4 linked regions of the Arabidopsis thaliana genome follow. The protein of the gene in region 1 purifies or fractionates together with the protein of each later gene. This does not show direct contact. Each region holds a gene or a part of one and is shown in the gene's direction. Other genes may lie near its edges.

Region 1 (6,694 bases):
CTAACATCTGTATTCTATAGGAATATACATGACAATCACACAATTATTTTCTCCTTTTCACTAATTTTATTTTTACTATTATTTCATCATTTAGCAATGCCTCTTTCACTGTTTTTCTTCTTTTAAATTTATAAGTTAGTGTCTTTATTTTTTAAACGTAAATGTTAAAAAAAATACTTTTATGTCACAAATGTTAAAATATTCTAAACAAGGATGATATGCACTAAAAATATCTATGAACCATTTTGTCTTATTGTTCTCTTGTAATTTATTTTCTTAATATGTAGATTTATTTAGTGTATCATATAAGATAGTAAAATACATGAATATGTTTTTTTTAAAAATAAGCATAGTTAACAAAATAAAAAATTACACAAAATTATTTGTTTTTAACAGAATTATTTGCATGCCACTAGAAACCCATATCAAACCATTAAGGGTAGGGAAGGACGCTATGCAGAGGTGCAATTCACATCGGAGAACCATGCAGCCAAGATTGTTCAGCTAGCCCGTCTATCTTACAATAGAAACAAGCTAAAGGTTTATAATTTGGAGTTAGATCTCTGCCGTGAGGATAGAGCTACAGTTGAAAACATGATTGAGTTGAGGAAAAGTTTATTTCGGATACCAAACTACGCGGAAATATTCTAGTGGCTAAGGCGGGGTGTTTCCTCTCTGGGAATATGCCAAACTATTAGAGTTATTTTGAAAAATTATTCACCTCTCCCTAAACTGGGAAGCAATTCCTTATCGAATAAAGTTTCATTTTGGAAACATTAGAGTAGCGATGTTGCATTAAACCCATATAAGGCCCATTAGGTTTTATTTTTGCCGCTATCGTCCTTATATTTAAAAACTTTCGACTGTCAATTAGGGTTTACGCCACTAAGAGATGCTGGCGGCAAAACAGAGAACTCCCAAAATTAATATAGAAACTTTATTTTAAAATATATAATATATAAAATTTTGTATGTTGTAGCATGGGTCGAGATACATATGGTTTTATATGGTTTTAATTTATATAAAATAAAAAAACTGTACAAACCAATCGTAACCAAATCGAATTACATACAGTTTCTATATGGTTTTAGTTTTTATAAAACCAAAACTAAACCTAACCGAAACCAAACCAAACCAAAAAAATTGTACCCCTATCCCTATAACAAGTAAATATTTGTATTATGTATAGAATGATTAAAATTGTATTATAAAACAGACAATAATCCAACTTTAAATAAATATTTAAAAATTAATTTTTCTCCGTGCTAAACCAAAACAGATTATGATCTAGTGTATACTTTATGATTCTTTTTCTTATACTTACGTTTGGTGTCGTGTATTGTGTTTTTTAAAGCTATATAATACGTATAAGATATAATTGTAACTCTTACTTTATGTATTATATGATGATTCAAAACAATTTAAAAAGTTAAACAAATATGATAGAAAAGTCATAATTTTAAACTTTAATCAAATATTCTAAGTTTTAACTATGTATATTGTTAAATATGAAATATCCGGTGTAAGAGTTGGATTAAATATAACTTATCCAACAAAATTTTTATGAACAAAATTGTTTAACGGGATGGATACCATTTTTATCAAGAAAACACTTTTACTTACCCGCCAAATAGTAAGTACAAAAATACTTCATGTAAGGCCCAATGTTTTGCAATAAAAACACTTTGGTACTAAAAATATCGAGACCCCCATATTAAAGTTTTCTAAACCATATAAGGGCCCATTAGGTTTTTTATTTTCTGCTATCTAAAAGCTCAATTTAGGGTGTTTAGAGCTACAATGGATGGAGTTGAGGAAAGTTTACTTCGGATACCAAACTACGTCGGAAATATTCTAGTGGCTAAGGCGGGGTGTTTCCTCTCTAGGAAGATGCCAAACTATTGGAGTTAGTTTGAAAAATATTCACCTCTCCCTGAACTGGGAAGCAAATCCTTATCGAATGGAGTTTTCTTTTGGAAGCATTAGAGTAGCAGTGTTGAATTAAACCCATATAAGGCCCATTAGATTTTATTTTTGCCGGTATCGTCCTTATATTTAAAAGCTTTCGACTGTCAATTAGGGTTTACGCCACTAAGAGATGCCGACGGCAAAACAGAAAAATCCCAAAATTAATATATAAATTTTATTTTAAAATATATAATATATAAAATTTTGTATGTTGTAGCATGGGTCGAGATACATATGGTTTTATATGGTTTTAATTTATATAAAATAAAAAATTGTACAAACCAATCGTAACCAAATCGAATTACATATAGTTTCTATATGGTTTTAGTTTTTATAAAACCAAAACTAAACCTAACTGAAACCAAACCAAACCAAAAAAATCATACCCCTATCCCTATAACAAGTGAATATTTGTATTATGTATAGAATGATTAAAATTGTATTATAAAACAGACAATAATCCAACTTTAAATAAATATTTAAAAAATAAATTTTTCTCCGTGCTAAACAAATACAGATTATGATCTAGTGTATACTTTATGATTCTTTTTCTTATGCTTATGTTTGGTGTCGTGTATTGTGTTTTTTTAAAGCTATATAATACGTATAAGATATAATTGTAACTCTTATTTTATGTATTATATGATGATTCAAATCAATTTAAAAAGTTAAATAAATATGATAAAAAAGTCATAATTTTAAACTTTAATCAAATCTTCTAAGTTCTAATTATGTATATTGTTAAATATGAAATATCCGGTATAAGAATTGGATTAAATATAACTTATCCAACAAAATTTTTATGAACAAAATTGTTTAACGGGATAGATATCATTTTTATCAAAAAAACACTTTTACTTACCTGCCAAATAGTAAGTACAAAAATACTTCATTTAAAGCCCAATATTTTGCAATAACACACTTTTGCACTAGACCCCCATATGAAGCCCATATTAAAGTATTCTAGACCATAAGGGCCCATTAGGTTTTTACTTTCTGCTATATAAAAGCTCAATCTAGGGTTTATGTCTCTGATAGATTTTACACCACCGAAGCCGAAAAAATGCCGGCGGCGAAGAGGACTCCCAAGGTTAACCGTAACCCTGACCTAATCAGGGGAGTTGGAAAATATTCGAGGTCTCAGATGTACCACAAGAGAGGTTTGTGGGCTATCAAGGCCAAGAACGGTGGCGTTTTCCCTCGTCACGATGCTCAGCCAAAGGTCGACGCTCCGGTTGAGAAGCCTGCCAAGTTTTATCCGGCGGAAGACGTCAAGAAGCCGCTTGTTAACAGACGCAAGCCTAAGCCTACCAAGCTAAAGTATTTATCCATCTTCTTCTTCGATTGGTTTTTAATTTTCATTTGAGTTTGATTCCGCTAGATCTAGTATTAGAATGGTTTTGGATCTACTGGTGATATAAGAGAGACCATACAAATTGTTAGGATTTTTAGAAATGTAGGATTCCTAGAGATTATGGCTATGCTTCATTTTTGATATGAATATGGTTTTGTTTATCTCTGTGTTGCAGAGCCAGCATCACTCCAGGAACTGTGTTGATCATTCTTGCTGGTAGATTCAAGGGTAAGAGAGTTGTCTTCCTCAAGCAACTTTCTTCTGGTTTGCTTCTTGTAACAGGTGAACTCTTATCTCTCGATGGTGTTGGTTTGATTGTTCAATTTGGAACCTATGTTAATGTTTGTCTTTGTTGATTTGGTCATTTCAGGACCATTCAAGATTAATGGTGTTCCATTGAGACGTGTTAACCAAGCCTATGTGATTGGAACCTCCACAAAGATTGACATTTCTGGAGTCAACACTGAGAAATTCGATGACAAGTATTTTGGAAAGGTTGCTGAGAAGAAGAAGAAGAAAACAGAAGGCGAATTCTTCGAAGCTGAGAAAGAGGTATACAATCATCTTATGGATATTTGGTTTTATCCAAAAATGGTTATTATGTGTTTTCTTGTCTTTGTACCATTACCTAATTGAAAACTTTGGGTTGAACAGGAGAAGAAGGAGATCCCACAGGAGAAGAAGGAAGACCAGAAAACCGTTGATGCTGCTCTGATCAAATCCATTGAAGCTGTCCCAGAGCTCAAGGTTTACCTTGGAGCCAGGTTCTCATTGAGTCAAGGAATGAAACCACATGAGCTTGTTTTCTAGATTTCGTATTGTTTCTCAAATTTTAAGAATATCTGTTTCCCTGAGTATTTTCATCTTTAATCGTCCTTGGATCTTAAAGACTATTTTCTCTGATTTTATATATCAAATTTTCGAGCAATCTAGCTTTAAGACCTGGTGTTATGAATTCGATTTTCTATAAAAATGAATAAATGAAAAAGCATAAGAAATGATCACGAATTAATTTTTAATCCAAAGTAATCAACAGCAGATTTTGCCATAATTGAAGCAAACTCTCCAAAGCTTATAACACCATCACCATTTGTATCAGCTTCTTTGATCATCTCCGTTAATTCTTTATACGTTAATGGTTGACCCATCTTGGCCATTGCTCCTGCAAGCTCAGCCGCACTTATGAACCCGTTACCGTCTCTATCGAACGATTTGAAAATCTCGAGTAATTGCTCGGAATTGATTAGGACCTCTTCGTTAAGATCAGGAAGAATTGTACCAACGAGCTCATCGAATTCGACAAAACCGTTGCCGTTTGAGTCCATGCTAGCTAACAAAACATGGATTTGATCGCCGGAAGGTTTGAGACCGAGTGACCGGAGAAGTGCCGCGAGTTCTAAGATTGTTAAGCTTCCGTCTGCGTCCATGTCGAACCGGTCGAAAATGTCTTTAAGTTGTCTTATCTGATCCTCCATTTTTTCTTTCTTTCTTTAGCAACACAAATAAAAATCGATTAATCAATGTTGGCGACGAGAGAGATTGATGAGACAAGAGGTTATGATTGTCAATGAAGGGTGTGCCAGAAAGGAGATTTAAGATTGAAGTTTTGTTTCTTTTTGAGCACGTAGAATTTAGAATTCTGGATCTTTTCTATGTTTTAATGTTTTGTTTGTTCTTTTCTTTTTCGTTGGTTTGTTAATGGTTGCTGATAAAAATAGATAAGACCACATATTTTTTTTTTGTTTGAGTTAGATTGGTACTGCTATTGAAATGTGAAAATTCATAATGATTCTTTTTGCCTTTTTGGTAAAGAAAATCATATTGATTGTGGTGAAACAAAAACATGACATTGTCCTAAGAAACATAAAGATAATTAGAATTGTGACTAAATATGTGAAGCATAAGATTTAAAATAAAATTAAATGCCAATGGTTACGACTAGTGAAATGTGATAAATTCATGATAATTGTTGAGAAACAGAACATGACATTGTCCAAAGAAAACAAAAGATAATTAACTTAAAAAACCAAACAAACTAAGAAAACAGAAAAACACAAGAAACTGAAATTGAGTTGTTGATCAGACAGAATCACTTTTCCTAGCCGTCCGATTGTTACGACGAGCACAGCAACCGCAGGAATAGACGGTTATGAGGAGAATGAGGAGACAAATGTTGAAAACAAGAAGATTCCTCCACTTCTCTCTTATGTTCGCTAACACACCCGCTTTGCATGCGTTGCAGTTGAAACATAACTCTGTTTGCACGTTGCTCCACGTACCACAGTCCCCGTTTTCCGCAACTGCCGTTTCGTTTTTGCTCGGCGGTATCCAGAACGTCGCGTTTCTGAACTCGAAGTTGCAATCCGATGGTGGCTTACAACAACCTGACTGCTCATACACAATCAATACTTGAGTTACACAACCCATTATGAACAATAAATTTAACGGCTTAACATATAAGTGTTATCTTAGTTCGGCTAAAAATTGTCTTGCTTTTGTTACTATATGCAAAAACTTAACAATGAAATTTAATCATACTAAGAACGATGAAATGAACCTAGACTATTTTTTATTGATTTGTCTTTACATATATATATACTAAAGAAAGCAAAAGCTTTGATTGGTCTTCCCTTTACTATATTTATACAAAAATATCAACAAAGAAATATGTTCATACAGAAAATCGATCCAAAACAATACCTGGATGGGAGACAAGTTCTTGTGATAAAACGCATCAGCGATCTGACTAACACGACCATCACTCAAATCATCACAAACGTTAGCCTCAGCCAAACAAGACCTTATCCCAACCCATCTCTTCCCACCAACGAACCCATTAAGCCACGTCGAGAAATCCACCGTCCGGTACTCTTTATACCCTCGACCGGACACCACACGACCGGCTCCTTTGTTGGTCACAAAGAAGAGAAATATGGAGAAAATCATCAATGCAACAATGCCCCCAAACAATATGATCAAGTAGGAAACCATTGCCAAATTCTCCTTGAAACAAGATCCAATCACTCCGAGCAAAGACACCAAGAAGAGGATGAGTCCGGTCGTGAGAAGTGGTATCCGAATGGCAGATTCACAATCAGTGACGCCTTGGTGAACGAACATGTAAATCGAATAACCAATGGCCGAAGCGCCCACTAACATCACCAATGTGTTTGCTAGACCAACCATGAAATTGCTAACTCGAAACATTTTTGGAAATTTGCTTTCTCCAAATGATAAACTCGATTAACCTGATCGGATTTTAAATAGATACGGAGAGGGAGAGAGTGTTTTTTTGTTGTTGTTTGAATTTGATAATTATGTTTCGTAACGTTTTTAGTGTGTGTGTGTGTTTTTAAGTGTGTGGAGTCGTGG
Region 2 (6,346 bases), about 23 Mb from region 1:
GGGAAAACTATGGCGCTGAAATTTTATCAAAAAATACAAAAATAAATTACATGTGGATACAGAAATTAATAAACCAAGTACACTAATGCGATGATTATAGACATACTTTTCTCTTTCTTGATCAGGAAGATTGATGTACCTCGCCAAAACGTCCTCGATCCTGAAATCAACTCAAGACTAAGATTATGGAGATACAACATCGTGCATGTGTTTATTTACATATATTTTCATAGATGTTATGTATCGTTGAAGAAGACAGAGAACAAACCAAGTCTTATAGAGAAAACGGTGGGAGCAACCCGGTGAATGAAGGAAAGAAGAAGCTATGTATAAGTAGAATCGGTTGGTTTTCTTATTTTACAATTAATGAAGAAATTGTTTTTCAACTTTTAATTTCTAAAAAACCATATAATGATAAGTTTTATTTGATGGGCCTCACACTGAGTCATTGCATGTACCGATGTCACTGAAACACGACGTGTTTCGTTTTGGAGTGCCACATATAGTACGAACTTGATCGACTAGAGAGCAGAGCATGGCCATGTCGGAATAACAAATAATATACTATTGTAATAGCAAATGGTGAAAATTTATCAAAAAATCCTTCAAAATGTTTAACAAGTGGAAATTTTATATGTTAAATCGACTGGAAAGCTAATATAACACTTGATTTTGTGGTGTTTTCTAATGATTTTTTTTTGTTTATTTTGTAACAAATTGACAACAAAAATTAAAGATTGTTTGCGGACTGTTTCTTTATTTTTTAAGTTCCGGGGCTATTTACAAAGTATTTCGGAACTTTCTCTATTTACCGAAAACATCCGATACCTTTACTATTTACTAAATAACCCCGAACTCTGTTGTTATTTATAGAAAAGCGCAGCAGCGATTTTTTCTATTTACATAAGAAATCCTGAAACTCTTACTATTTTTGAAATGTTCTGCAACTTTTATATACTAAAATCTTCAGTAATATGTAAAAACGTGTCAACCCTCAGTTGCACCTCTAATACTGAATAACAAAGCAGTGGGGGAAAAAATCAAAATTACTACGTAGTACAAAAAATACAGATCCACTATTCGGTGGCTTCCACCAACAATTTTTTTTTTGATAAAAAGAATATATGGCTTGTCCGTTTTGTCTTTTAATCAAATGATATGGACAGTACATGTATATGCAAAACATGGTTACACTTTAATTAAGATGAAAAAGCCTAAGGAGAAGATTCTAGAAGAGCATGGAACGTTCTAGAAGAAGAAATGGACATACCTTGTTTGACCGGAAAAGAGACATAGTCGATCAGAGGGAGAGAACATGAGGAGGGCAAGATCGATGTCACAAAGTGTTGACAATTCATAAGCCTTTTTTATTAAACCTTTTTTACGTTTTGAGAACGTAATTTGTCGGTTCGTGCTCTTCTCTATACGCTTTAACTCCAATTTAACCCGACCCATATCCGATGGTCACTGCAAAATAATCAAAACACAATCTATTATTAGTTGGCACGAGAGAAATTGATCGAATGCAAAATTGTATATTTAAGTAAATGAGTCGACGAAAGGAGAGTTTTTAGGTTTGTGTTAAGAGAGAGAGAGAGAGAGAGAGAGAGAGAGAGAGAGAGAGTTACAAATGGTGAGCGGATAGAATTTTTGATCTTAATTTAGACGAATCTGCCATATGGCTAGGTACATCCCTTACATTTATACTCATTTTATATAATATTTGTAAAAATGTAGTTTACTCTTATTATATAACCAAGTGTTGTTACTTAAAACTTTAACCCAAAAAAAAGATGTATTTTATTCAATGTTCATATTTAACATTATAGGTTTCTTGGCACTTGCCTAAAGGCTCATATATACGTGGGTGCGTATGCGTATGGATAATATATATAGTAAATACATCAAACACATATATATTTCCTAGTCTGCCTCTAATTTTTATATATAGCTTGTTCTAGCTAGTGTGATTTGTACATTGTATATACACTGTGTGTTTTCTCTTCTGTGAAATTAAAGACTCAAACCTTATGTGTTTTCTCTTTTTGTCAATAACATGTACATGTGTTTGAATTTATTGGTAACCCAACAAAACAAGCACAATCCATTACACATTATAATGGTGTGTATGAGATATTAGATGGTGTAAGAGAGACATGATGGGTATACATATAGCGAGTGAAGTTGAAGCTTATAACGAAGGTGCCTCTCGATGAAGGAGCTTCAAAAGGAAGCAAATTAGGTTAGGGCTCTATGGAATAATTCTTGATGTTACCATATATTTTATAGAAATATTGTACATGACGACCACCTGGTCTCAGTTTACGACACGTGGGGGATTTGTTTGTTTGTGTTGTCTCGGTCGTTGTTGTTACGTGCCGACAAGGGGAATGATATTAACATAGAGGGGGAAAAAAGAGAGAGATCTTCAATGTGAAGTTTGCTCTGTGTATATAAATATTTTTACATCTTTCGACTTATTCTATTAATTCTTCAAATCATAATAAAAATTAAACCACTTTTGATTACTTGTTTCTTAATTTCCAAGATAATTAATTATAATTTATCTATTAATATTTGTCTACCAAAATCTAACACTTAAAATTAGCAATTTATCTTAATTAAATAAATATTGTTAAACTTTGTCTTTTGTCACACTAGTCATAACTGAGATTGATCAGTTCGTTCCATTTCTATAGAATTCAACTTATACGTTGAATCCGATAGAAAGAAAATAGAAAAGTAATTTGAATTTTTTTTCATCCACAAACAAAACTTGTTGAAACTTGAAACATTGAATAATCTAATAAAAGTATAAAAAAAAATATAAAAAATATATGTTTACCAATTATCCAATTTATTTCTGCATATTTTGTAAATTAAAAAGTAATTCAAATACGTTTCATGTCGACAAAATGTTGAATGTACAAGTGGTTTATGCTAATTTAATCACTGTCAATTCACTGAAACGAATAAATCGAGTAATTACTTTTTTAATTGACAAATTACAAAACTATAGAAACATTAAGGGCATAATTGAAATTTCCAATAAATTGAAGAGCAAAAACCCTAGAAAATTGACACGGACTATAAAAAGGTGACGAAGCGGCGCTTTTTCGGTTTGGTCATCGTGCTCCTCTTCTCCTCCACCGCACAGATCCAAGACATTTTGATTACACTCCATCGCCGGCGAAAATGGTGACGGAAAAGAAAACGGTGCGCCTTATTCTCTCCCATCAAAGTTTTATCCCTTTTCCTCATCATCTAGATATCGTTTACGATCTCAATGTACTAATATGTTTCTGGGTTTATTGCTTAATTGCAGAAGAAGTCTCATGAGGGTATCAACAGTAGGTTGGCTCTTGTTATGAAGAGTGGTAAATACACTCTTGGTTACAAGTCTGTTCTCAAATCCCTCCGTGGCTCCAAAGGTAATTGCGTCGAACACTTGGTCTGCATACCTAAATGTTTTAGCTTTTTGTAGTTTGTTATTGATTCTGGTTTTTGCTTATGTTCACAGGGAAACTGATTCTAATCTCCACCAATTGCCCACCGTTGAGAAGATCAGAGATTGAGTACTACGCAATGCTCGCTAAAGTTGGTGTCCACCATTACAATGGAAGTAAGTTCCTTTCTTCTTTAGCTCGTCCAGTTTTTAAAGATTCATTGTTCTCTTGTTTTTGTGAAGGTTTTCATTGTGTATAATAACTGAGAATGTATAATCTTAAGTAGATGAAAGTGTTAAAATCTGCTTCTATAGACCATTAAACTGATGATGGAAGTATGATCTCAAGTCGAAGAAACTGTAATGTATATTGACGTGAAGTCTTGATCTTTCGCAAGTTCACGATCGGTTTGAACTGCTGTTGGTGTCTCTGTATGTGGTTATTGCAAATATTGACATGGTTCATAATACCAAAGATTGCTCTGTTGGTCTATGATTTCGCATTGTTAGATTTTGACTCTTAGACAAAACTTGATCTTGCTCGATGATAATACTCGAAGGAGCGTTTTAATACATTATCTTGATGATTTCATCAAAGAAAGTAGATGAATGTTTATTCTATTGAACATAGTTTCATGTTTCAACGCTCATTCATCGGTTATTCCTCTTGTATCTACCACTTTGGCTTAACTGTGTTTTTCTTCTCTCCTTGTTAATGGCTTTCAGATAACGTTGATTTGGGAACAGCTTGCGGAAAGTACTTCCGTGTTTCTTGTCTGAGCATTGTTGATCCTGGTAAAAGAGCTAGCTACTTGCTTATATATTGCTGCTGGTTCTTCATTGATAGATCTACTAATGATTTTGTCTTTCGACTTGTTTCAGGTGATTCTGACATTATCAAGTCAATTCCTGGTGACCAGTGATACAATTTTCAGATTTTATTTTTCCCAGACTTTTTACCCGTCTTTGTATTCGAGTCTCTCAAAATTTTATGAGCAATAGACATTGTGTTTCTTCTTTGTCAAGTTTTCTTATATTGAGGACCGGAAAAGAAATTTCTTTAAAAGCAGCTTACAACACAAGTTTACGCATTTTCTCATCATGGTTCTTGAAAATAAGCCAATAAGTTTGTTTGACAGGAAGGTCGCTTACTACTGAAAACGATCAAATACAAATTACTCCTTTTTCTAAACCTAATACTGGTTTGATTGTAGTCACAATCATGTTAGTTTGAATCTGGATAGTAACGTAGTAGAGACATGTGTGTCATGGTTTTATTATAGTATTTGATTAGTACGGATATGATCATCCAAAAAAGGGGCATGTGTCAAAATACACATCTGACAAAAATGGAGACAAATAAACCATTGTTTTTGTTCAGTTGTTGTTGTCAAGGTGTATAGTTATTCATTTGGTGAAACAAAGTTATTCTTGTTTTGGTCATTTTATCCATTTAACTAATGGATAGATATTCACATGTGTTTCTGTATTTCTTTCCTCTTTTTACGTATTTCTTTCTCTGTATACATCGTTTAGTTTCTCATAAAGAAAACTTCCAAAATGTAAGTAAAAGAATGGATGAATCTAACTCCTATTTAACTCAACCTCACTAACTCGATCTATAGACACAGAGAGAGCTTTCAAAATTTGGTAACATCGCTCTCAGTTCTCACTACCAAGAAAACTCGACCATCGTGATGTCATCTCTCTCCTACAACGGAGGCTACATTGGAAAAGAGAGCTGCTTCAACGCTTTCTCCGACAAGACCGGTGATGTCAAGTTGCCATGTGAGAGAAGAGAGGAGAAAAAGACAGTGGCGCGTGAGATAATGTCACCTCCAATGTTGCCGTCGCACGTGCCGTCGGTGCTGAAGCGAGAGTACACGAGTGATGGTCGGCTTTTACTCAAGGAAGAGAAAGTGTGTCGCAACGAGTATTTTCGAGCTCACAGATCCAACGGTCGTCTCATGATCCAGCTCGTCTCTCTTGATGAAGATGATGATCGGGATTCGGATGTTAAGAATTGTTGATGATCATCACTATCTTGAATGGAGGCAACTTTCTTTCTTGGAAGGCAAGTTACGTTGAAGTTTGAAGCCTTCAACATGTTTAACCTATTCACTAAAATATCATCAATGTTCTGATTTCTCAATCACCGTTCTGTTTAGTTTTGGTGGTTTCTTTTATTTTCATGTTCCTATAATCTCCGAAACTGAAAGAAAGTGGTTGTAATTTACCGGCTGAAATGGCTATTTGCCCAAATTAAGGTTTATAATATGATAATTATATTAAAGATTTGGGTATATGCCCTACTCATTGTTGCTCCGTCTGATTTGCTCTGCTTAGGTCTTCTTGGTCATTGCAATTGATGTTTCTCTGTTCTGTTTCTCAGGATGTATGTATTGGTACTTGTCTTATTTTTAATAATGAACCGTGCAGTGAAGATCTTGTAAATTGTCAAATATGATTATCTACATGTATGTTTATACTACAAGAGAGACAGAGAGGGAGCAAGTACCATGTGCTTAATTACTTGAAGTAGCTATAGAAGCTTCCAAAATGTTTGGAATCTTACTTTGCTGCTTCTTCCTCTTCTGCTTCGGTATCAAGCTCGAGACCTTCTGCTGCTAATAGCTGAGTGATGAGCTTTTTCTTATCTTCCTCTGCTTTCTTTCGCATCAGATCTCTTTTCTTCAACACTAGCGTGTGTCGCTTTAAAGTGCTGTTGAATAACTCTCTCGATGCTTTCTTCTCCTTCTCCAATATCTTCCTTTCTTCTTCCGGATCCACCTTAATAAGTTTCAAGATTCACAACAGAGCAGAAGAAAGTTACTAAGTTGGAAGAACAAGCTCAAAAAGACACATTATTTCTTACTTTAGAACGAGAAAGACGACGAGCAC
Region 3 (9,450 bases), on another chromosome or scaffold:
GATGGCAAGAGTCTCGTAGAGATCACAGAGTGTCTCGAGCTTCCACTCTTCTTTCTCAACGTTGACGTAGAACTGCTTGATACCTTCAAGGGTAAGCTCATCACGCTTCACCAAGATTCTCACTGGCTTGCTCATGAACTTCCTTGTGATCTCAAGAGCTTCTGGTGGCATTGTTGCGGAGAACACACCAACTTGGATCTTTGGTGGAAGAAGCTGGAATATGTCATAGATCTGAAAAAACCCAGAAACCAGTGAGATTCAAGTTAAACTATAACGAGAATGGAATTGAAACACTGAGAAATATTTGCATACCTGGTCCTTGAAACCACGGGAGAGCATTTCATCAGCTTCATCGAGAACAAACATCTTGATGTTGTCAGCACGAAGAGACTGCCTCTTCAACATGTCAAAGACACGCCCTGGAGTTCCAACAACAACATGGACACCAGCTTGGAGGATGCGCTGATCCTCACGGACACTGGTTCCACCAACACAGGCGTGAACCTTGACACCAAGGTAATCACCAAGGGCCCTCATGACCTTCTCAATTTGCTGAGCAAGCTCTCTAGTTGGAGCTAGAACCAAAGCCTGACACTGGATAAGGGAGAAGTCCAGCTGCTGCAAGACACCAGAGCAGAAAGTTGCTGTTTTCCCAGTACCAGACTGAGCCTGTTGAATCACATCAAGACCCTTACAGAAGGGGACGATTCCTCTTTGCTGAATAGCAGAAGGCTTCTCAAAACCTAAGAAAAAACAGAAGCACGCATGAGATAATGTTCTAATCTAAGACATAAATCACAAAAGATAGCTTTTTCAAGTTCCTACACACATACCATAAGCATAAATACCCCTGAGAAGGTTCTCTTGAAGACCCATGGCATCAAAGCTCTCATGAACATCATCATAGGATGTGAAGAACTCATCTTGTCCCTCAAGTCTGTATCAATACAGTACAATTAGCAGCTAGAGCATGCGGAGAGAACACACTCAAGAATGAAAAAACAGAAGTAAAAAGACTCACACTTCATTGAGTTTCTGGTCAAACTGACGTGCATCAAACTGTGTGCCTTCTGGTGCAGATCCTGCCATGCTACATAAAAAGAACAAAAACAATCAGATTTCATATCAAAAGGAAGAGAGACAACACCTATTTTGATATCGTTAATAATATGATTGCAAAGGAGGAAATGTGACAAGAAAGCCAAACTCGAAGTCCATAAAGAGAGGAAAACAAGCATTAATATCTGCCTCAGATGATGTGCGGAGAAAATGTATAAAGGCACATATGGTTATCTATTAAACATAGACACCACTCAACCTATTTCTCCAAATTACAAAAAAAAACATTCAATCAGACAAAACCAAGTGAGTGTTAAGACAAGAACATCTGAGCTTTGAAGACGATTCATTTCATTCTATTGAGAGACTAACCTAGCCGTAACAAAATCTACAAACCCATCAACAAATCTACAGATGTGTAGATCCTAAATTTAATAATCGTCATCATCAGCAGCTCAGAATCTAATAAAGAGAACAAAAACGAAAGCACTTCCACAGCAAAAAAAACGATCTTGAAGTAACGAAAAATCAAAACTTCCAAATCAACTCAACAAAGTTGAAACCAAATCTATCGGAAAACACAAAAAAACAAATCAGAACAATCCAAAAGTAAAGAAACAATCATGAATCGTAAAAGTTACATCGAGATAATAGATAGACAATCCGATAGGATGCGAACCTGGAGCAAAGTTGGTAAGCGAGAGTAAAGGGCTTTTTTCAGGGAGCTTGAATCTCCCAAACTCGGATCTGAACCGCGTTGAGAGAGAGAGAGCAAAGAGAAGAGCGAAGATTGCGAGAGACTGGTGGAATATCCGAAAGAGGCTGAGAGAAAACGCGTTACCTTGTTTATATACTCCGTCTTTAGGGTTTTCTCCTTTGGAAATCTTCTCCTTTTCTTTTTCGGATTTCCGGTTTTACCCCTTTATTCCCTTTCTTTTTACTCTTTTGGCTCGGACAAGGTTTTCCAACACTTAGCTCATTGTCTTAACTTGATTTTGGCAAAAATAAATAAACAAATATCTAGTGGGAAATTAGGAACATAAATTCTTCATTTATTTTGTGACTAGCAAAGAAAATATTCTTCATTTATTTTATTTTCTTTTCCAAAGCTTTCTTTCTCCTGCAACTTTTATTGCTTTTTGACGTTACAAAGCATTTTCCCGATTACAACGAGGATATTAGAAGAATAAAGTGACTGATAAGAACGTTTTATCTGAAAATGTCTTTACTTATTAACACATCTATCTCTCTATGTTGAATGTTTAATCATGTAATTGTTCCACAAGTGATATGAAGAATCCTTGAAACGAAGCAAAACACATTGAGTAAGAAGAAGGTAACTAGCTAGTATGAAGAAGCAGCAAGTTGCTATCTATCTTCAACAAAAAATGCTTTGATTTTAGCCTCAAGAGACTTTCTTAGAATCTGTTGCCATTGAAGAAAAAGCTGGAGAGGGCAAAACATAATCATGATGCTTAGGATAAGCAAAAAATATGTATTTAGCTTGTGTAGGTAGAGGAAGAGCTAGGAGTTTTTTGTGTGACAGGAATCGAGGGAAAACGATGGGCCAAAGATTAGGCCCATTAATAAGTTTGACTAATCCCTGCCGTTCATTAGATGCCTACGTAATCACTAACGCACCTGATGATCTCTGTCTTTTGGTGAGACGCAAAAGCTCAGAGAATAATAATAGGGCCCAATATAATAAAGTACAAACCGAAATTTGTGAAGCTTAATTAGTCGGTTTAAATACTTTTATATCGGTTATGGTAGAATTGGTGTTGGTACGATACAATCTGGTACATGTAAGGCAGCATTTTGCCATTTCTGAAAAACCTAAACACAAAACTATCTTCATCATCATCATCAAATCCCAGCTTTCTTCCAAGTGATCCTTCACTCTCTATACTGCGATTTACCGTTCTTCTGACTCTTGGTGAGTTCTAGATCGAATCCTATCTTCCATCCACATATTTACTGTTTCAAAATTGGATTGAGTACAAGTCAAATTCATCGATCTCGATCTCTGATATAGTTGCCGAGGGAAAAAGGAGAAACCCCCTAACAAACATTCCCACCATTTTTTTTGTTATTTGCAGTTGCGAATTCGGATCGGCTGACGCAGCTCCGATTGCACAACAATGGCTTCTCGTATCATCAATCATTCCAAAAAGGTTTCTCTTTCTCTATTTTTCATTTTTTTCTGTGGTTTGACTACCATTTTTGATCTTGTAAAACTGAGTTTATGCATTCGTTCTTATGTGTTTTGCTCTGCCAATCATTTTTTTCTGAACTGAGGTTCGTTTTCCGGGTTTGACTTAATCTAATCATGAATTTGGTATTTTTAATTTGATCATGGGCAATTCTGCATTTTGCTATTGAGAGCTTTAGTAACCTCCTTGTAATCTGAATTGTGATTAATGTAGTAGCTTCGCTTTATGATTCAATTGTGGTATTAGCTATTCATTTTATTAGTACAAGAAGACTCTACTTTTACAGCAGAGTAATTGTATGTTGCTCTTTGTAAACACTATTTTGACGATTGTTGTGTTATCTGACCAGTTGAAACATGTTTCCGCTTTACTGCGGCGTGACCATGCTGTGGCAGTCCGCTGTTTCTCCAACAGTACCCACCCCTCTCTCGTTGGAAGAGAAGGTAATCCAGTCAGCTTTCTTAGTGTCCTCTTCATTGCTATCCTTAAGTTCATTTTATGTAGAAATGTGTGGTGGTTTCTTTTATTTGATACGGTAACAAGCACCACACAGTACTCTGGGATGAATAGTCCAAGTTTGACTTTCACATCGTTTTCAACATGAAGAACATAACAACGTTCCAACTTTAATTAATTGAAAGTTGGTATGTTTTGAGTATATATTATGCTTCTCGCTTAAGCATTTATTTTTCTATTTTTATTTGGTCTTCAGATATCTTCAAGGCCCGCCTGAATTATTCCTCTGTAGAGAGAATTTCAAAATGTGGTACTGGCAATGTAAGTCCCTGCTGTTCAGTTTCCTTTCTCGTCTTTGCTTTGTCACGTAATCGTCTGTGTTTTTTTGGTCGTAATGTCATTAGCTGCATTATATAGGTAACAATGCTTAGTGGTATTTCAACAACGAGCACAAAACTAAGCAGCCCAATGGCAGGACCAAAACTATTTAAAGAATTTATAAGGTATGTAATCCATTTACCGATGAGAATACAACTTGCTACCTTCCTGTATGAATACTTCTATCCTAACTGTAAGCTTCTTTTCTTGCTTTTAGCTCCCAGATGCGATCAGTGAGAGGATTTTCATCCAGTTCAGGTATTTAGTTCTTTATTGTAACTTCCCGCTTGTTCTAACATATATTTTCACTTGAATTGTACTTTTTTTTGTGAGCATCTGACTTGGTTTTTGTGCCTTTTGCGGCCATCATATTTCTGTCACTGTGTATATGCAGCATACATGGTTTGTTTTACTGATAACTTTTTAAAATATGTTTCAGATCTTCCTCCTCATCAAGAGATTGGAATGCCTTCTCTTTCGCCAACAATGACTGAGGCATGTACCTCTGAATACCTCTTACGAAAATTAACATGGTTTATTGTTTTATCATTCTACTAAAGATATCTGTTGAAACTTCAGGGTAACATTGCCAGGTGGCTGAAGAAAGAAGGTGATAAAGTTGCTCCTGGTGAAGTGCTTTGTGAAGTTGAAACTGTAATGATAATCCTGATTGAATCTCTTCCTGTATTGATTCTTATGCCAGGAATAAAACACTTATCTCAATCTTAATATTTTAGGACAAAGCAACAGTCGAAATGGAATGCATGGAAGAGGGTTTTCTCGCCAAGATAGTAAAGGAGGAGGGGGCAAAAGAAATTCAAGTTGGGGAGGTATGAGAGTTTCTGACTTTTGGAGACTTGTTAATTATAATGGGTTCTCATGAAGTATTTGATTGTGAGCCCTATGCTCCCTTTAGTTGAAGATCAATGAATATTCAATAAAAATGACAAAGATCTTTATCTTCATTTGTAGAATCACATATAAATGGTCCCTTTTTTTTTTGTCCAACTAGGTGATTGCTATCACAGTTGAAGATGAAGATGATATTCAAAAGTTTAAAGATTACACACCCTCATCCGATACTGGTCCCGCTGCGCCTGAAGCAAAACCAGCTCCTTCCCTACCAAAGGAAGAGAAGGTAGAGAAGCCAGCCAGTGCTCCTGAAGCCAAGATCTCTAAGCCAAGCTCAGCTCCTTCAGAAGATCGTATTTTTGCCAGTCCTCTTGCAAGAAAGTTGGCTGAAGATAATAATGTCAGTTTCCAGACGAAAAATATTAGTTAAGCTCGTGTTAGATCTCCATCTCTAATTTGTTTTTCCTACTTTTCCTTTGAAAAACATTAGGTACCTCTCTCAAGCATTAAAGGCACAGGTCCTGAAGGACGGATAGTGAAGGCTGATGTCGAAGATTTCTTAGGTATCAGAAATCCTTGGCTCTTCCCTCTTCTTACATTTTCCCCTCTCGTTACAGAATTTACCTCATCCCTATGTTCTAAATTTCTAATACATCTTCCTATGGTACAGCTTCAGGCAGTAAAGAAACTACTGCCAAACCTTCCAAGCAAGTGGATTCAAAGGTTCCAGCTCTTGACTATGTTGACATCCCTCACACTCAGATACGAAAGGCAAATACCTATACAACCTTATATCTTGATTGCTTGTGGTATTTCTAGATTACCTCGACCATATATCTCTCTGTTTTGTACTATAAGCCAAGAATTCCGAAGTTTTGTTAATTGTATAAATTTGACAGGTCACAGCCTCACGTTTGGCATTCTCAAAGCAAACTATTCCTCACTACTACTTGACCGTGGATACATGTGTTGACAAAATGATGGGGTAAGTATTAAGTTTTAGATCATATATTTTGATTAGGTAAGTGGATGCTAAACATAGCTATTTTTATATGCAGTCTTAGGAGTCAACTCAATTCATTTCAAGAGGCTTCCGGTGGGAAAAGGATATCTGTAAATGATCTTGTTATTAAGGTGCATCTTACTTCTTTTCTTGCAAGTCTAATTAAATCTCATTTTGTTCTCCATTATGAAACCTTTTCTTTTTCGAAATTGCAGGCTGCTGCACTGGCTCTTCGAAAAGTTCCTCAGTGCAATAGTTCATGGACAGATGAATACATCCGCCAGTAAGTACATATTCTGTTTCAGAGGTTCATGAAAACTTTGCAAATCATCTAGTTTCTTGGTTCTTATTTTCCTCCTTTTATGTACAGATTTAAAAATGTGAACATCAATGTCGCTGTACAAACAGAAAATGGGCTCTACGTTCCTGTGGTCAAGGTTAGGGAGCTCTTGATACAGTTATTAACCTTCCTCTGCAGAAACTTGAGATTTCTGAAAAACTCAGTTCATCTAATTGCTTGATTTCAGGACGCGGACAAGAAAGGACTGTCTACAATTGGAGAAGAGGTTCGATTCTTGGCTCAAAAAGCAAAAGAAAACAGCTTGAAGCCGGAAGATTATGAGGTTGGTTTAGAATTCGGTCAATCTCACTAGCATAATACTGCTGTGAAAGCAAATCAGCTCAAACTGTTTCTTCTGACAGGGAGGAACATTCACAGTCTCCAACCTGGGGGGACCTTTTGGCATCAAACAGTTCTGTGCCGTCATCAATCCACCTCAAGCAGCCATTCTAGCAATCGGATCTGGTAAGTCCTTAGCATACTCATCCACTTTATCCGTTGAAGTTTCTTCCGCGTAACTTATTATAGTGTTGGTGTCTGAATCTCAAAACAGCTGAAAAGAGAGTTGTTCCCGGTACTGGTCCAGACCAATACAACGTTGCTTCATACATGTCTGTAACACTAAGCTGTGACCACCGCGTAATAGATGGTACAGAATCCGCCTCTCATTCCTATTGTCATTATTAATCATCACCTCATCGAAAACGTCTAATAAGTCATCTTCCTGTGCAGGTGCAATTGGAGCCGAGTGGCTGAAAGCATTCAAGGGCTACATCGAGACCCCAGAATCTATGTTGCTCTAAAATTCAGACGCACACACACATCAAAAGCTAAACTCATAAGAGTCTTCTGACCTCAAATTTCTTTCCCACAACATATTCTACCAGATTTGATCAGCAGTAGGCAATGGCCTTTAAAGTTGAGTGTTTTGCTATTCTTTAAATCATTGAGTTGACAGATTTTTGTCTCAAAATAAAATCAGGAATCCAACAATTTCACTGTGCACTTGTTTTTTGGCTTAATGCTTGTTCATCATGGGTTGGCAAAATAAAACCCATTTACTTAATTTTATTAATCAACTCCAATAAATATCTCTTTCTTCTAATAAAATGTCACTTAGTTCACTATCATGGACTTAGAGCAGTTTGCTTGCTTAAATGCCAAAACATCATATATCATTAAACCCAAGAAACAGATGTCTTAGGAACTAAAACAATTTATAATATCTCAACAGACCGTCAAAGAAATATCATTAAAATAGCAGAAAATATGTAAAGATAGAACAAAATCTTCTCCTAGATCGTCATCACTTTCGTGCCCTGCGCCTCCGGTTAACCTCCGGGAAATTGAGAGGGGTCGGTAAGGTAGCAACCGTAGTAGAATTCTGCTTCAGGAATTTGCAGCCAAGCTGTAGAAAATGTTTCCTCAGCTCAACTGTGCTTATCCTCAGATCTTTTGCTATGTCTTCTGGATCGGTCATGAAATTATCCACGTGAAGGGATAGCACAAGAACGTAGCTTATCAGAAGGTTGATCTTGTCAACAGGTATCCTATCTGATTCAGAATCCTTGAACATGCTGTTGAATTTTTGACGGAAGATGTCTGGCATCTTGTGGTCTTTAGCGGAATCGTAACCATTCATTGAGTTTCTGTCCTTGAACTTAACCAGATGGGTGAGAAGCGTTGCAGCACCACAAACCGTCTGCTTTTTCATATCGTCCTGCATATGTAACAAAATGACATACATACATAAAGAATCTTCTGAGCAGTAGATAAAACCATGAGAAGTTCAGAATCCATTTAATCAGAGCAAACCGCGAAAGTGGTGCAAGCTAACATAAAATATTTTGCATCCAAGAAAATAGTCATAATTTTACCTTGATATCTCGCAATCTGTACAATCTGTTGCGGACAAATACAGGGTAAGCCTCAGTTGCTGCTTCAGTTTCCTGTTGCAGAAGCCAGTAAATATCTTCAAGAAAACTCCAATCCCCCTTTTCAATGATCTTTTCTAAGGGATAAGCTTCATTTGCAGTCGTTGCAGCGGTATTGTAAGGAGGAATGTTGCGTGCAACAGTAGAACTGGTGCCTTCAAGAGCAGCTGTGTTAACACCTAACTCACTTAGTTTCCCATCAAGGACCTTCTGAGTCGCAGCATCATCTCCCATATATAAGGCACGCTTCTTCTTATCCTGCATAGAGACACACATTCTCACTCAGACATATAATCCTCCCAACGAATCTCACGACAATCAGTTCTCTACTAGTCTGGATACCAATAAGACAGATACTGTAGGAAACAGTAGAATTGGTGTTTTCAGATGCTGTAGTAACATACCCGAGTAACAGCTTTTTTTGTATTATAACGATCGCGTTCTCCTGTTTTTAGTTCTTCAAGTTCTTTGACGACAGCACTTCCTGAAGCTTCTTCCTCATTTGTTTCTTGAGCTTTAACTCTAGGCTCCAATCTGATTATCTACAAGTAACACAAAACCAAACTCAAACTCTCAAAAATCATTTCTTTTCTATTCACAACCATACACTCAAAACATTCCAACTAATTCAAACCAATTAATCACCAAAATCAAAACAAGGTAACAGAATTTAAACCTTATTGTGAGCAACAGGAAGAATCCTCAAAGTTTTAGCCTCTCTATTAAAAACACCAACTCTATAAGTATTCGTCTGCATAGCAGCTTGCTCGCCTGTGTAATTAGTTCCGACGAACTCAACTCTTGCGCCTGGAGGACTTACAACAACCTGAATCCTCTTCTTAGAATCATCCTTATGCTTGTAAACAGTAACCTTGGGAGTTTCATGAACTCTCTTGCCTGTTTTTGGATCTACTTTACAAGGATCGTATCCTGTAGAGAAATAGGCGACGATCGGAGAGATTCTATCGGGTCTCTCGGCGACTTGCGTGACTTTGAGAGTAACTCTCTTGTCTTCTTCGTTTTCATCCTCTGTTTCCGTTGCTATTTTTTTCCCTTTCCTTTGCTTCTTTTGTAGTTGTTGTGGTGTATTGAAATCTTCTTCCTCGTTTCTATAATCATTCTTCTCTTCGCCTTCCATGGCTACTGAGGTTTGGATTCTTTTAGTCTATCGAAGAAGCGGCAGCGATTCAGAGAAGGGTTTACTGGAAACTCACT
Region 4 (7,320 bases), on another chromosome or scaffold:
CGATGTTTTATAAAATAATGGTTATACCAAAAAAACGGTAAGAACTAAGTGGATCGACTTGTAAAAAAAAATTTGAGATATTTTTTGTATTCATGAATTTGTAAATAGTTCATACCAAAAAAATGAATATGTAAACAGTTGACCAATCAATTAAAGACAAAAAAACAGCTCTTTTGTCTTCAAAAATTATATATAAAATGTTAAAGTATTTTTTCATTTTATTTTGTTATATATTTGATCGATCACCATAAATGAACTTTTCAATTATATATTGATGCGATATGAATATGAAAGGAACAATGTTTTCAAGAGATAAACTTCGTTTTTATCCGAAAGAACGGTAACCAATGCTCATATCAATTTATAATGAAAACATGGAGAAGGTTAACAATAACTCTTTTTCTTCATTTATATAATTTTGTTTACACATAAATGAAGAACATGAGTATAAATTTAGGAAAATATTTTGTAAATAAAAAGTAAAGGGTAACTCCAAAATGAAGTGACAGATGATATCATACCATATTCATCACTCCCTTTTAGAGTTGAGAATATAGTGGTATTAAAAGGATTTTTTCTAAATTAGTATTTAGAGTGAAATTTGGAATATAATTGGAGATGCACTTATTGGCTCATGGATTTAAAAAGGGAACAAAATTGCATCAATTTCTTTCTATTCAGGAGGAATTAAGTGGAAAAAAATTTCATTCCATTTATTGTAAAAGTTAGCAAAAGTTGTAACCAAACGAAATACAATATGCTTCCTCTCTCAAACTTTTCCGCTGATGTGTAAAATACAAGTCAAGCTATACTTGCATTTAAGTTTATATGTACAAAAAAAAGTTTATATGTACAAATCAAAAATCAAAAGAATATGAAGTACCGGTTGATATTGGTTCTTGCATTTAGAAGGTATAATTGCAATTAAACCGACTTTCAGATTTGGTCTAACTTTTAGACTGGCTATTCAATTTACTTTAGAGGGATTTGGTTTCCACTTTCGACATTGATCTTTGGATAAGTGGGTTCGGGTACTATTGTATGACTCATACAACTACTGATAAAGACTATCTGCTTTCTCTACTCCATCACAAATTATTAAAAACCAATATCTCAAGAGATGTTAAGATGGGTCGTTTTACCTTTTTTCACCACAATACTATAGCTTACTACTACTATTTGGCTTCCTAACATATATATCAATTTGCTACTTACAGGAGCTCCATAGCTCCTTTACTTGTCCCACCTCATCTCTTTCTTCCTCCTCTTCTGTCCACGTACTTCCCTGAGAAGCTCTTGAAGTTCTTCACAAAGAGGTTCTGGAGTAAGCTGAATGATCTCATCATCATCACCATCACTATCCTCCTCTGGCTCCGTCTCCTTCTCCTTTGGATCCTCTGGCTCGGTCTCCTTCTCCTCTGGATCCGTTTCCTCCTCAGGATCCGTCTCCTCCTCATCAATTAGCCATCCACAATGAAGATTCTCCACACCTAATCAATTATTTTGACCGCAGTAAAAGAATGTTTCATTTCTTATGTTGAGATTGGTATGGATATGAGTAAAAAAGCTTTTATTACCTCGAACAGAACTTTGTGCATAATCTGATGATGCTTCTCCCAAATGAATAGCTGCTGGTGATGGGTCATTGACTGCTTCGCTATTGATTGATAACTCATCAGCTTGGTCTCTTCCATACTCAATATGCATGTCCTGCTCCTGCTCCTGTATTACAAAAGATGGATCATGCTGCAAGTTACATACCATTTGGGTAAACCAAGTTCAAGAATTCTGTCAATGGTTTCTAATAATGCCAGCAAAACGAATCCCAACAATGGAAGCAACAGATTTGTGAACCTGCACAGAAAGAGAACGAGAAGGAAGAAAAACAAATCACCTTCTCTTCTTCGTGTATTTCCACAGCCAATTGATTGGGTTGTTCTTCCTCAGCCATCTCTTCATTGTGATTCTCAGGCAATTGGTTGGCTTGTACTTCAGCCAATTGTTTCTCTTTTTCCTCTTGCTTTTCAAGGCAGATAGCAAGGAGGGGACCATAGCTATCATCTTCAATCAAAAACCATTGGTCTTCGTAGACCTGAAATCCAAAGTGGGTAAAACGTTATTTTCAAGTTGCAAGGAAAATGTTATCAACAACGGAAAAATGGAGACCCTAAAACTAGCGAACAAACCTCTAACAGTTCCTTAATACTCTCACTGATAACATGCTCATGAAACCCAAATCCTCTCATGCGATCTCGTGCTGCATCCTCTCGCATCAATCCAGCCTTCTGCAAAAAAGCAAAAGAAAAGTAGCAATTTAAAAGCATAGAAAAGAGAGATAATCATAGAAGGAAAAAAACAAGAACACCCATCATAAAAAGAAGTATTTGTAAACTTATCTCATCAGTGTTCTCAACGTTGAGTACACAGAAGTCGTAGAGAGAAACAAAATGTTAACTTCAACAATCATGTCATTCAAATACTTCATCTATATAGTCATTCTACTCTAATGTCTATGTCTATGCTTTTATCTTAGTTTTCCACTATACTCTCTAAAAACTATATGATTCAAAAGCTCATATCTTTACTTGTTAGCCAGCATTTTAATTTGGAAAAACAAAACAAAAAAAACAGTACAGCTTATACCTTTCTTCTTCCTCTGGGAGCCATTTGTTGATCCCTCACAATTCCCTGTAGTTTCAGAAGAAATTGGAGGACCAAAAGTATAAGTCTTTGGGTTATAATCAAACAAACAAACAAAGGCAACCAAACAAGTGATCCCTTTTTTCAAACCTATGTAACAACAAAATCAACGAAAGATGAAACAAAACAAAAGTTGAGCTCTTTCCCAAAAATCCCGAATCAGTAACACTAGAGATAAACCAAAAATACCCTAAAATTCAAACCCAAATGAAACCTAAACAGAATCACAACAAAACACAAAAACACGAACTTAATTTTGCTACAGAGATGACAATGTGCTGAGCTGTTTCGTTCAGATTCGATAGGGAAAGAGAGTACTTACGGCGGAGAAGATAAAATCGGCGGCGACTGTGGAAGGTTTCTTAAGAATAAGCCGTGGATCGCCTCCTCGTCTCCCAAAAATGCTTCTTTGAATGAAATCGAATTAAAAAAATAATATAGTATTTGTTTGGGTCAACCATTTTCTCTGTTAAGTCAACCATTTTCTTATTGGTTACTATAAAAAATAATAAAGTATGAATTACAATGAATGGATCTCAGTTGGGCTTGAGATGTGGGTCGAAAGAGCTTTTAGCCCAATAGGAAAAAGATTCATAATGTTAAACATGTTGGGCAATATTGGCCCATCCCATTGATACTACTACAAATAATATAAGCCGTTAGATTTAGGTCATCCCACAAACCCTGACCGTTCATCCTTCCGTCTTCCGATAACTATATAAACCCAAGAAACTTCTTCTTCAACCTTAAGCAAATTCTTACGCAGCTTTTTTTCTTTCTCTCTTCCTTCCTCTGTTAAAAACAGTTACAGAGGTTAAAGAGACAGCGCCAATTCGCGCTGTCCACCTTGTACGAGCTCCAAGCTTCGTCTAGGCCCTCCATTTTCTCTACCCCAAAATTTAGTTTCTTTAGTCTCACTTTATCATTTTTAAGTGGAAATGGCGGTGAAAGCAACAAAGGCGGAGAAGAAGATCGTTTACGATTCAAAGCTTTGTCAGCTTTTGAATGAGTACTCTCAGATTCTTGTCGTTGCAGCTGACAATGTTGGATCAACTCAGCTTCAGAACATAAGGAAAGGTTTACGAGGTGATTCAGTTGTTTTGATGGGGAAGAACACAATGATGAAGAGATCTGTGAGGATTCATGCTGATAAAACTGGCAATCAAGCTTTCCTCAGTCTCCTTCCTCTTCTTCAGGTTTCATTTCTCTTGTCTTGAATAGTTTGTTTTCATTTGGATATAAAGTATTGATTTTTTGGTTTTGTGGAGAATTTGATTTGGTTTGGTGTTAGAATCTATTTAACAGGGGAATGTTGGGTTGATCTTCACTAAGGGTGACTTGAAGGAAGTCAGTGAAGAGGTTGCTAAGTACAAGGTTTGTTTCTTTGGCTCAATTGATGTTATTGTTGTTGTTAAGCTTTAGTAGAGTTCAAATATGGATTGATAGCTTGGAAAGTGAAAGTTTGTATTTTTGAGTTTGAAATGAAATCATATGTGTTCTTGCTTAAAATGCAGCCACATTCTAATTGAGATTATTATGATTCGTTGAGCTTTGAGGAGATTACATTTTCATTGATTGGTTTATTACTTAGTTTGGTTAGTTTTATGCTGTATCTGATTATCTCTAAGTAAGCAAGAATGCAAGGTGTTGTATTATTCGATTTTAAACACAAATGCAAACTTTCACTTTCCAAGCAAATAGGGTTGATTAGATTATAGTACTAGTTATTTTGGTTCATTGAGGTTTGAGGAGACGACATTTGTAGTTTCTGTTTTGTGTTTTGATTGATTGGTTTATTTTTAGCTTCTACTGTTACTTGATGATTTAGTCAGTTTATGATCATCCTTTAACCTATGGCTTTAGGTTATTAACTTGTAAGGTGGATAGGTGATAAAGTTTGCATTTTGGTTTAAATTGGAACTCAAAACCTCTATTTTCTGTCTTGAAACGCAACCACATTCAAGAAACTTACTTGAGAGTCTACTAGTTTCCTAGGCTCACATTTTTGTAGCGTCCTTTCATGTTGTTGGATTGATTGATTTTTTCAACTTAGTCTTGTACTGTTAATTGATGAGAAATTCATTGTCCTTTTTTTGACAGGTTGGAGCTCCTGCTCGTGTAGGTTTAGTCGCTCCAATTGATGTGGTCGTGCAACCAGGCAACACTGGTCTTGACCCTTCACAGACCTCCTTCTTCCAGGTGCTTAACATTCCAACCAAAATCAACAAAGGTACGGTTGAGATCATAACCCCTGTGGAGCTCATCAAGAAAGGCGACAAAGTCGGTTCATCCGAGGCTGCGCTTCTTGCCAAGCTTGGAATCAGGCCCTTTTCGTATGGTCTCGTTGTTGAGTCAGTCTACGATAATGGGTCAGTGTTTAACCCTGAAGTGCTTAACCTCACTGAAGACGACCTTGTTGAGAAGTTTGCAGCTGGTGTCTCGATGATCACTGCGCTTTCTCTTGCAATCTCTTACCCAACCGTAGCAGCTGCGCCTCACATGTTCCTCAATGCTTACAAGAACGTTCTTGCTGTTGCCTTAGCTACTGAGTACTCTTTCCCTCAGGCTGAGAATGTGAAGGAGTTCCTAAAGGTTTGTCCTCTTTCATTTTGCGTTTCAGATATTGGGATTAGTAGTCATGAAATTGTTTGTTAACTGTACATTTATGGATCAGGATCCAACCAAGTTTGCAGTTGCAGTGGCTGCACCGGTTTCAGGAGAGTCTGGTGGAGCAGTGGTGGCAGTAGCTGTTGAGGAAGAAGCTGCAGAAGAGTCTGATGGGGACATGGGATTTGATCTGTTCGGTTAAAATACACCGTCTTATCTTTTGCCAGCCTTTCCTATTTATTTTATGGACCTTTAAAACTTTCACGTTCAGAATTTCTTTGTTACGTTTATGGATATTTTGTTTCTTCATCAAAACTACCTTTCTGGTTTTAATTTCTCTCCGTTGAGGAATTTTCTGAACCCAATTATATTGGTTAACAATGTCATTGTCTGATTCTGTCAGTAACTACGCAAATGAGTATATTTCATCTTCTTCAGTAAAGGTTTCAATAGCTCAAACAGACAATACTCCAGCAACTATGACAGGAACATATCCAACATATAACAAGTTTGGTTAGTTTCAGCTATATAACCAAAAGCACAGTCTACTTTACATAATATTTCAGATTTTACTTCATAGAATATATGTTTCATTCCTTCACTTATCTTCTTTCTTTCGTCGCGCATAGCAACTATGTTGGTTGGTGTGTAGATCTATCTTTAAAAGGTTGCAGCCTTGCTTAGTCCAAATGATGGTTTGATTTTGAAGTGCCAAACCTCACCTATAACAAACTTTCTGAATTATATTATTTTATTATCTATTTATATCATATTATATACTATCTGAATTATACTACAAACTTTCCTTAGATACATATCACAAAATATCATCAAATTATTAAAAACTCTTTTAGAAAATTGCATAGCCTATCCTCATAATAAAATCAGATTATAATTTAAATCAAGTGTTACGTTAATTTATAAACTGTTTAAAGAAGAAATAAAGGGGTTAAGCATGCCTTGTTCTCTGGTAGAAGCACAAACATGCTTTTGTTGATAATTGTCAGAAAAAAACAAGTAAAGTCTATAAGAAAATGGATCAGACTCATTCGAGGCATTCCCATGAGACGAAGAAACATAAGCGTGTGGGAATTGCGGAGTTAAAGGTTGAATATGTCGTGTCTATTATAATAATCAGAATTTAAAAGAAAAAAGAATGAGGAATGTGTTGCTTGATTAACGTCAATTAAGTTAGCTTTTGTATATTTTAGAAGAAAAAAAATGAATATCGGGGCTTTTAGTGGATAAGGACTTTCCTCTACGATACGTTTTTGCGATGACATAAGTATTATTCCAAGTTGTATCCATTTTCGTGCACACGTAAAAGTCAAAAAAAGAGTCCGACATAGGAGAAGAAATGGAAGATGTTTCCATGTTCCCAAACGGATATACATCAAAGTTGTTACGACTTTTTAAAAATAGCGGATATATAGCCACAAACGTCATTGTTCTCTAGTACGAGATTTTTCACAGTTTTAAACTTATTATGTGTATGGAGAGATCACATGGATTGACGAAATATGGTTACCGTCGAAAGAATGTCCCATCAAAGAATTTTATAAGTTTATTAGAGTTTGATCTCATCCACATGCATAATTTGATATTATCTTTCTCATTCCGGCATTTATTGAGGAATTTAGGCAGAGTGATGTGTTCCCATACCAAACTTTATCCGAATCATGCCATCTTAGTATCTTACAAGTTAAACTATAACTAAAAAACAGGATATACTGAAAATCAATACAATTACCAAGGAAATAAAAAAAATACCACTGTAATTGATTGTTCAGGTATCGTTGTCTGTTAAAGTCGTCTTCTAGTATATTGTATTTTCGATTGAGTTTAAACAATTAAATAATGTTTTAGTGAGGCTCAACCAAAATCTTTAAGGCTTCACATAAAAATTAAACTGAGATTTTGGTTTGGGCATGTACCTTCTGGTTCTGGAGTACAAGCCCTTTTTTCCTTAACACCCAAATTAATTATTGTTAATCATTTATTTATTATATTTGG

What was found.
Region 2: the proteins of AT1G18540 (region 1) and AT1G77940 fractionate together in Arabidopsis thaliana (co-fractionation; one large-scale study listed by BioGRID). This does not show direct contact.
Region 3: the proteins of AT1G18540 (region 1) and AT3G13930 fractionate together in Arabidopsis thaliana (co-fractionation; one large-scale study listed by BioGRID). This does not show direct contact.
Region 4: the proteins of AT1G18540 (region 1) and AT2G40010 fractionate together in Arabidopsis thaliana (co-fractionation; one large-scale study listed by BioGRID). This does not show direct contact.

Annotation. Positions count from the first base shown.
Region 1 is NC_003070.9:6,374,886-6,381,579, reverse strand, and holds AT1G18540 (Ribosomal protein L6 family protein), read left to right. Parts: upstream 1-2,999; 5' UTR 3,000-3,031; coding exon 3,032-3,288; intron 3,289-3,497; coding exon 3,498-3,604; intron 3,605-3,692; coding exon 3,693-3,874; intron 3,875-3,976; coding exon 3,977-4,132; 3' UTR 4,133-4,323; coding exon of another isoform or gene 4,324-4,797; 3' UTR 4,798-4,941; downstream 4,942-6,694. Other genes in the region: AT1G18530 (EF hand calcium-binding protein family), read right to left, coding at 4,324-4,797; TET11 (tetraspanin11), read right to left, coding at 5,402-5,710, 6,023-6,529.
Region 2 is NC_003070.9:29,302,138-29,308,483, reverse strand, and holds AT1G77940 (Ribosomal protein L7Ae/L30e/S12e/Gadd45 family protein), read left to right. Parts: upstream 1-3,072; 5' UTR 3,073-3,195; coding exon 3,196-3,216; intron 3,217-3,325; coding exon 3,326-3,431; intron 3,432-3,520; coding exon 3,521-3,622; intron 3,623-4,171; coding exon 4,172-4,240; intron 4,241-4,327; coding exon 4,328-4,368; 3' UTR 4,369-4,620; downstream 4,621-6,346. Other genes in the region: AGL67 (AGAMOUS-like 67), read right to left, coding at 1-15, 107-160, 1,271-1,455; AT1G77932 (FANTASTIC four protein, putative (DUF3049)), read left to right, coding at 5,143-5,475; AT1G77930 (Chaperone DnaJ-domain superfamily protein), read right to left, coding at 6,017-6,235, 6,321-6,346.
Region 3 is NC_003074.8:4,593,040-4,602,489, forward strand, and holds AT3G13930 (Dihydrolipoamide acetyltransferase, long form protein), read left to right. Parts: upstream 1-2,727; 5' UTR 2,728-2,995; intron 2,996-3,158; 5' UTR 3,159-3,200; coding exon 3,201-3,233; intron 3,234-3,621; coding exon 3,622-3,715; intron 3,716-3,984; coding exon 3,985-4,049; intron 4,050-4,145; coding exon 4,146-4,231; intron 4,232-4,323; coding exon 4,324-4,364; intron 4,365-4,545; coding exon 4,546-4,601; intron 4,602-4,685; coding exon 4,686-4,760; intron 4,761-4,843; coding exon 4,844-4,936; intron 4,937-5,118; coding exon 5,119-5,358; intron 5,359-5,448; coding exon 5,449-5,521; intron 5,522-5,628; coding exon 5,629-5,729; intron 5,730-5,857; coding exon 5,858-5,943; intron 5,944-6,016; coding exon 6,017-6,092; intron 6,093-6,176; coding exon 6,177-6,244; intron 6,245-6,331; coding exon 6,332-6,398; intron 6,399-6,488; coding exon 6,489-6,584; intron 6,585-6,663; coding exon 6,664-6,766; intron 6,767-6,854; coding exon 6,855-6,950; intron 6,951-7,033; and 3 more. Other genes in the region: EIF4A1 (eukaryotic translation initiation factor 4A1), read right to left, coding at 1-231, 313-743, 834-937, 1,022-1,090, 1,208-1,218; AT3G13940 (DNA binding / DNA-directed RNA polymerase), read right to left, coding at 7,608-8,021, 8,179-8,493, 8,640-8,777, 8,912-9,373. UniProt on the Arabidopsis thaliana protein: The pyruvate dehydrogenase complex catalyzes the overall conversion of pyruvate to acetyl-CoA and CO(2).
Region 4 is NC_003071.7:16,706,767-16,714,086, reverse strand, and holds AT2G40010 (Ribosomal protein L10 family protein), read left to right. Parts: upstream 1-3,314; 5' UTR 3,315-3,638; coding exon 3,639-3,896; intron 3,897-4,005; coding exon 4,006-4,074; intron 4,075-4,523; exon of another isoform or gene 4,524-4,800; coding exon 4,801-5,292; exon of another isoform or gene 5,293-5,374; coding exon 5,375-5,509; 3' UTR 5,510-5,708; downstream 5,709-7,320. Other genes in the region: AT2G40020 (Nucleolar histone methyltransferase-related protein), read right to left, coding at 1,234-1,490, 1,578-1,722, 1,895-2,092, 2,187-2,324. UniProt on the Arabidopsis thaliana protein: Ribosomal protein P0 is the functional equivalent of E.coli protein L10.